2 linked regions of the Danio rerio genome follow. Each later gene encodes a partner of the first gene's protein in a complex. Links are inferred from orthologs where the notes say so. Each region holds a gene or a part of one and is shown in the gene's direction. Other genes may lie near its edges.

Region 1 (3,272 bases):
AAGTTATTTGCACTTCACGGGTAAATACGACTTCATTCAGATGAAAACGTCTTTGGGAGACTATTGATTCCTTACAAAATTAAGCAAAACACTTGTTTGTTTTATTTAAACAAATCTGCAGGTTATTTATTTGTCTTGCTGAAATGTGACGGCTGTTTTTTCTGCTTGCTCTGATTTGCAGGATGGAGATAAGTTTTGGAGGATGCCAGAATGCTACATAAGAGGAAGCACCATTAAATACTTGCGAATCCCTGATGAAATTATAGATATGGTGAAAGAGGAAGTGGTGTCAAAGGGCCGTGGCCGGGGTGGCATGCAGCAGAATAAGCCACAAGGAAAGGGCAGAGGAGGTGGACCTGGAAGAGGTGGCGGACCTGGCAGAGGTCTGATGCTTTTATATTCATACAATAGATCATATCATATAATCATTCCAGACATATATAGCCCTCCTTTTCCCCCAAGTTCTGTTTACTGAGAGATTTTTTTCAGGACATTTCTAAACAATAGTTTTAATAACTCATTTCTAATAACTCATTTCTTTTATCTTTGCCATGATGACAGTAAATATTATTTGATTAGATCTTTTTCAGGATGCTAGTGATCAGCTTAAACTGCCATTTAAAGGCTTGATTAGGTGAACTAGGCAGATTAGGGTAATTAATGGTAATTAATTGCTTAAGGGGGCTAATAATATGATAATAAATAATGAAAATAAAATGGTAAAAAACTGCTTTCATTCTAGCTGAAATAAAACAGACTTTCTCTAGAAAAAAATATTATCAGACATACTGTGAAAATTGATTTGCTTCATTAAATGTCACTTGAGAAATCTTTGAAAAAGGATAAATAATTCACAGGAGGGCTGACAGTTTTACTCTCATTGGTATATTTTTTTAAATGTGTACACGCAGTTTTGGGCTTAAAGGGCCATGAAACCACCTCGTTTCAGCAGGGTTTTCTCACCTCTACTTTGGAAAAAGCCAGAAAAGTGGGCGTGTCCAGCTCTGTTTAGGGGGGAGTGTCGGAGGAACTAAAGTGGGATGGTGTGGGAGTGTCTATTTGGGCACGCGCGAGTTTCAGTCAAAATACACACACATGAGAAAGTGATGGTGTTTAACCTACATGGACATCTGTAGTCGAATTATTTGCCAAATTATTAAATGGGTGACTTTAACTGCAGTTTGGCTCTTTCATTCAGGGAATTCATTCATGCCCCTCGCGACAAACGTGATATTTGATTCGAGGAACTGCTGTAAGCGTGTATTTTTCATGCAACGTTTGATACCGCACGACGAATGAGAGAAAAAAACCCTCCGCATTTCCCAGAAACTTAGATACACACGGCAGGTAGCGTCAGAAAGCCACGTGTGTTATTCCGGTCACAAAATGCGGTGCTATGTTTGCACTCAGTGCAATAGTTAACTTAATTCGATACGAACAAACTGAATAAACAAAGAGCACTGGTCGCTCACTTACCAAATCTGTAGAGACAGGACAATCACCAGCAACTAGAGCCGCGTCATTATGAAGAGAATACTAACGTTACAAGCGAATCCGGATTTCAGCATTTGCAGATGAGAACAGCTCTCAGGTAAACAATAATCCGCCTTAGACACGTAAGTTATTGTTGTCAAGCGTTGCGTACACTAAGGGGAGAGAAAAGGAAAACGAAACTTAATGGCAGCAAACTATAAAAGAAACACTTCACGCTTGTTTTGCCAACACAACGTGGCGTCTCTGTCCTGAAAACACTGTGATAGTAATGAATATTAATGAAGTTGCACAATAGGGCGCGCTGATTGGTTTGAACCAAGCTTTGCTCATGCATTAATGCATCACACTGTAAGACGTAATAAGACACACTCTATCACAGACGCCCAGTCTGCACGCTGGAATACACGCTATTATGTCATGGCCGTGACGCAGCTTCAAAAATTCGTTTCAAACAGGAAGTACGAATTTGCTTGAAATAACGCAAAAACAACCAATTTACATTTTTTAGTGAAATATAGGTGTCCTAATAGTGTTTTTAGCAGTGTGGGACACATATACCACTGTCAACAGCTCAAAAAATGTGTTTTGGTGTTTCGTGACCCTTTAAAGTTTTTTCCACTTGCCCTGACAATTTTAACTCTCCACACACGCACACACACACACGCGCGCACACACACACACACACACACACACACACACACACACACACAGATTAAAAAAAGAAATTCCCATTCTATTTGACAGGTGTTTTTGGTGGCCGTGGCAGAGGCATGCAGGGATCTGGCCGTGGACAGCAACAAGACAAAAAGCCTGGAAAACAACAAGGTGTCATAAACTAACAGTAGATATAAAACAGATCCTCCTTTTATTATGGGCTCCTAAAAATGACAATTCTGTGTTTAATTACTCTCCCTCATTTCCTTAAACATGAGACATTTGTTCATCTTCAGAACCCAAAATCTAAATCCTAAATCTGAGAGCGCCCTCGTCCTCCATAGACAGAAAAGTGGACAATGTTATCGTGCGACGTAATGTTATGTGTATTTATGTAGCACATTTATCGCGAATAGCCATGCAACCAAAGCACTTCACAGTCTTAAAGGGGGTCTTTCCACTCCACCACCAGTGTGCAGCATCTACTTGGATGATGCGACGGCAGCCACAGGACAACGGTGCCAGTGTGCTCACCACACACTAGCTATTGGTGGAGTGGAGTGGAGAGACAGTGATAGAGCCAATTCGGTAGATGGGGATTTTTGGGAGCCTATGATAGGTAAAGGCCAATGGAGGGAAATTGGCTAGGACATCAGGGTTACACCTCTTCTCCTTACAAGAAGTGCCATGGGATTTTTAATCACTACAGAGAGTCAGAGAATGTCTCATCCGAAAGACGGCGCCCACTGACAGTATAGTATTCCCTTCACTATACTGGGGCATTAGGACACACACAGACCACAGGTTAAGCGCCCACTGCTGATCACACTAACACAACTACAACAGTAACCTAGTTTTCCCATGAGGTCTCCCATCCAATTACTGACCAGGCTCAGCTCTGCTTAGTTTCAGTGAGTAACCGGCCTTGGGCTGCAGGCTGATATGCCTGTGGCTATACAGTTGAAGTGTACATACACTCTAAAAAAAAAAAAAAGGAACAAAACCATTTTTTAAATGTCTAGTGTAAAATCATACTAGTTTACTATTTTAGGTTCGTTAGGATTACCTAAATGATTTACGTTTGCTTAATGCCTGAATAATGAAAGAATTTTTTTTTTTTGAGA
Region 2 (4,593 bases), on another chromosome or scaffold:
TTTGCGCATCCCTGCTATATTTTAAATGATTTGTTTTCTTAAAATGAATTCACAACAACAACAAAAATAATAAATAAAAAATAATAAATTGTTTCTGAAACTGAATCTTTATCTTGACTGGTGGACTGCTCTATGATTAGGTGTGTAAAACAAATCTGTGTAGATGGTATAATTACGTTAAAATCTCATTTATTACACCATCACCATTCAAAATATGATTTACGCTTCTGTAAAAACGTTTCACTTGGTTAAACTTACAAACTCAAGTTCAGCAGCTGCCTTGAAAATGTGAGTCAACTCAACTTGGAGAGATTCTTAAGATGTTGAGTTTTACAATATATTTAACTAAAACTCAACATCTTACATTGAAACAAAGAATCTCTCTAAGTTGTTGCCTCACATTTTCAAGGCAGCTGCTGAACTTGAGTTTGTAAGTTTAACCAATGTGAAACGTTTTACAGTGTGGGCAATTATTGAGGGCCCCCAAATTTCTTGGGGTCCTAAGCGGTTGCTTGCTTCATCTTTCAGATGAGAAGTTAAACCCAGGTCTTGATTCTCTGTGGTCAATAAAAATCCCATGGCACTTCTCGTAAAGAGTAGGGGTGTAACCCTAGTGTCCTGGCCATATTCCCTCCATTGGCCCTTACCCATCATGGCCTGGCCTCCCAATCATCCCCATCCACCGAATTGGCTCTATCACTGTCTCTCCACCAATACCTGGTGTGTGGTGTCCGCACTGGCACTGTGGTCCTGTGGCTGCCGTCGCATCATCAAGTGATGCTGCACACTGGTGGTGGTGTGGAGAGACCCCCCTCATGATTGTGAACCGCTTTTGGTGTAAGATCTATAATATAAATACACATTACATTACATCATTGGTTAGGTCAGTCCCTGATTCTGATGTAATAGCAACGTAATTCCAGAACCACCATACAATTCCATCAAATTTATTAAACATTCAGTACCTTACGAATATTAACAAGTTTTAATTATTTTTTCCATGCTAGTGTGTAGCAAAACACCGTATAACAACTATTTTTAACCACTACAGCACTTTTATATAGTTCAATCAGCATTAATTCCCATAATGGCGATGTACAATTACAATTAGCGTCTGAAATCATCCCACAACCATTGATTGTACTTTTGTGTAAGTGCCGTCGTCATCATTACCACCAGTGTTTCCATCGACCCCCACTTTGACCCTCAAACAGTTAGCCTTTTCAGCAAGAACTGATTATAATCTCTAAAGTTACTCGTTAGAAACAGTATTGTGCTCTCTTCCTTAGAAACCAGAAATCTCCAGAGCGCGTCATCTGCTGGACAAATACCGCATCACTCCCTCACGACGGCTAAACTTCACATTAATTTGTTTAAACTATAAAATTAACTTCATTAGCACTGTCCATTTGTGGTCTATTTTTAACAGTTTTGATTGATGTAAACGTGTGTAATTGTAAGAAATCTATTTAATTATTTATACGCTTATTTTTATGTACGTGTGTTTGTTTTGCTTCTTAATTAATGTTTAATTATTTGTACTCTTACTATATTTATCTTCTATCATCCCTGGCATTAAAATGTGTGTTCTATTGTCGCGTACTAGTTATTTAAAGCTTATTAAATAAATACTAATTCACTCATGACAGCTTTCGTTGCTCCAACTCCATTAGTTCTGCCTGAAGTTGTGCTCAATCGGTCATCGCCTACTCGAGTCTCTCCGTTATCGCTTCCGGCTCAAGAACGAATGCTTTTCGTTGTAGGAGCTAGCGAACGAGCACCGGAGGATTTAAAAACACGCACCAGCAGAAAAGATGTCCACCGCTCTCGAGAGTTACATTCACCGTATCCTTTAATACGCATCGTGAACAGCACGGCGGTGATGTTGTTGATCGATACCCCGTGTTTTGTTGTTGATTGTGTGTGTTTGAGCGTGAAATGTCTAACTTTATATATATGGCGCGCCAGCAAGTGAATTAGCTTTTGATGATCATACGTCGTTATAATTCACGTTATAGCATATTAATGTACGCACATACATTTCTTGAGCAAAATAGATCAGTTCAAGATGATTATCGGTTATCTGGATGTGATATTAACTTCATAGATGCCTGTTTTTTGTCAAATATTTGAGTTTTTTTTTCTGGACCAATGAAAACGAGTCTTCAAATATTTAATTAAGACATATCATATAACTGGAATATTACTATTTACTGTAAATATTACATATTAATGTGTTCACATCTTGCATATCGGGTAGAAATAAGTATATTTGACTGTTTGTATTCATGTTAATCTATATAGATATAATTTATGTATGTAAAACAATCTAGAAAAGTAAAAAAAAAAATTTACATTTTGGATATAAGTATATTTGACCGTTTGCATTCATGTTAATCTATAAATACATATAATCTAATTTATAAATGCAAAACAATCTACAAAGGTTTTAATTTCTGAAATATTTCGTAAAAATAAGTATATTTGATTATTTTTATTTATGTTAATCTATTTATAGATGTAATCCATATATGTAAAACAATGTAGAAAAGTTTTTATTTCTTAAATTTTGCATAAAATTAAGTATATTTGACCATTTGCATTTATGTTAGTCTACATATAGATGCAATCCAACAATCTAAAAAAAGTTTTCATTTGTTCAATTTTAGTTAAAAGTAATTATATATGACCCTTTGTATTTATGTTAATCTATATATAAATATAATCTATGTAAAACAACCTAGAAACGTTTTAATTTCTTAAAATTGCGGTAAAAATAAGTTTATTTGACTGTTTGAATTTGTTAATCTATAGATAAAATACATATATGTAAAACAATCTAGAAAACTTTTCTTAATTTTTGGTTAAAAGTAAGCATATTTGACTGTTTTTATTCATGTTAATCTATAAATAAATATAATTTAGAAATGTAAAACAATCTAGAAACATTTTCATTTCTTAAATATTTCGTAAAAAATAAGTATATTTGATTGTTCGTATTCATGTTAATCTGTATATAAATATAATCTATATATGTAAAACAATCTAGAAAAGTTTTAATTTCTTGACCATGACCATTTGTATTCATGTAGATAGATAGATAGATAGATAGATAGATAGATAGATAGATAGATAGATAGATAGATAGATAGATAGATAGATAGATAGATAGATAGAGAATATGAATCAGTCAATGAATAAAATACTTAATAGAGATTTTGAACACACATTATGTGTACTATATAAACACAAATCCAGAGAACAAATAAACGCAGTGAGTGACCATGCATACATAAAATGAGCTTGAAATTTCCTTGACTGTGATTTTTTTCAAGGGACTGTTGCTATTGTCACTTCGGATGGCAGAATGATCGTGGTGAGTCTTCCTCGTGTACTTTAAAGGGAGTTATCCACCTTTGTGTTTAATAAAGTGCAAGTCAAAGACACTTTGGGAGTGTTTGACTGTATTAGGAAAATCTAAACATTATCACTTGTAACTCACAGCTCCGACACATATTTTTCATTTGTATTTTTGTTTTGTTTAAATGTCTTTTATGTTTAACTGAGGAGAAAAGTCCCCTAGATTGTGAATAGCCTGAGTGTGAATAAATTAATATTAAAATCTGTGTTTTTTGGTGAACTTACCAATTAATCATTGTCTGTGTGCAGAAATGAAGAAGATCGCTTACTGACTTGTGCTGTTTTTAGGGGACGCTAAAAGGCTTTGATCAGGCAATCAACCTCATCCTGGATGAAAGCCACGAGCGGGTCTTCAGCTCTTCACAGGGGGTCGAGCAGGTGGTTCTGGGACTGTATATTGTCAGAGGAGATAATGTGTGAGTATTAAACTCCTTTCTTGTAATTATGTTTATGTTGTGCAGAACAGTGCAAGGTTTATGATTTTTTTCTTTTATTTGGTTGACATAAATGGGAAATTATTTTGTGTTTAAGGGCTGTGATCGGTGAGATTGATGAAGAAACCGATTCTGCGCTGGATCTTGGAAACATAAGAGCAGAACCACTCAATTCTGTGGTGCATTGATGGACAGAAAATTTCATTTTGATCCAGTTGAAAACTTTCCCTAGGAAATCTGCAGGCATCTATAAGCAGCAATATTACCTGCTTTTTTAATCTTGAAAAAGACTGAATGCATATTTGTTTTTTGTTTGTTTTGTTTTTTACGGGTGTTGAAATAATAAAACAAAAAGTGATAAATCAAGATTTTAAATTTTTTAAAAACTTGTATAAAGGGGAAAATATTGGTAAGTATCCATTTTCTGGATAATTCTCAGTCAAAAACAAAAAAAGTAATAAATTAACAGTAAAAGTAAGATTAGGTCCATCTCCAAAATGCCTATTTTATCACCCAAAAGTCAAAAGAAATTTCCGTATTACATGAAGAAATTGAAAAGCATTTAAAGCCCATTTTGTTTTATTGCATTCATGACGATTTAGCTTATTTCCCACAAAGAAAAGCTCATTGCAGTATCGTAAAAATGACGAAAAAAGACATTAATATAAGTGTATATTATTATAAATAATTTGTAACAGTTATTTAAATGTAGTAATTGTATATAATAATGTGCAATATT

What was found.
Region 2: lsm4 (region 1) and lsm8 share a complex: the UniProt entries of both Homo sapiens proteins name them as parts of the precatalytic spliceosome. The link is inferred for Danio rerio from reciprocal best matches to the Homo sapiens genes LSM4 and LSM8.

Annotation. Positions count from the first base shown.
Region 1 is NC_133186.1:6,962,545-6,965,816, reverse strand, and holds part of lsm4 (U6 snRNA-associated Sm-like protein LSm4), read left to right. Parts: coding exon 1-20; intron 21-181; coding exon 182-383; intron 384-2,238; coding exon 2,239-2,319; exon of another isoform or gene 2,320-3,272. UniProt on the Homo sapiens protein: Plays a role in pre-mRNA splicing as component of the U4/U6-U5 tri-snRNP complex that is involved in spliceosome assembly, and as component of the precatalytic spliceosome (spliceosome B complex).
Region 2 is NC_133179.1:10,099,309-10,103,901, forward strand, and holds lsm8 (LSM8 homolog, U6 small nuclear RNA associated), read left to right. Parts: upstream 1-1,654; 5' UTR 1,655-1,814; coding exon 1,815-1,845; intron 1,846-3,335; coding exon 3,336-3,376; intron 3,377-3,708; coding exon 3,709-3,836; intron 3,837-3,951; coding exon 3,952-4,042; 3' UTR 4,043-4,217; downstream 4,218-4,593. UniProt on the Homo sapiens protein: Plays a role in pre-mRNA splicing as component of the U4/U6-U5 tri-snRNP complex that is involved in spliceosome assembly, and as component of the precatalytic spliceosome (spliceosome B complex).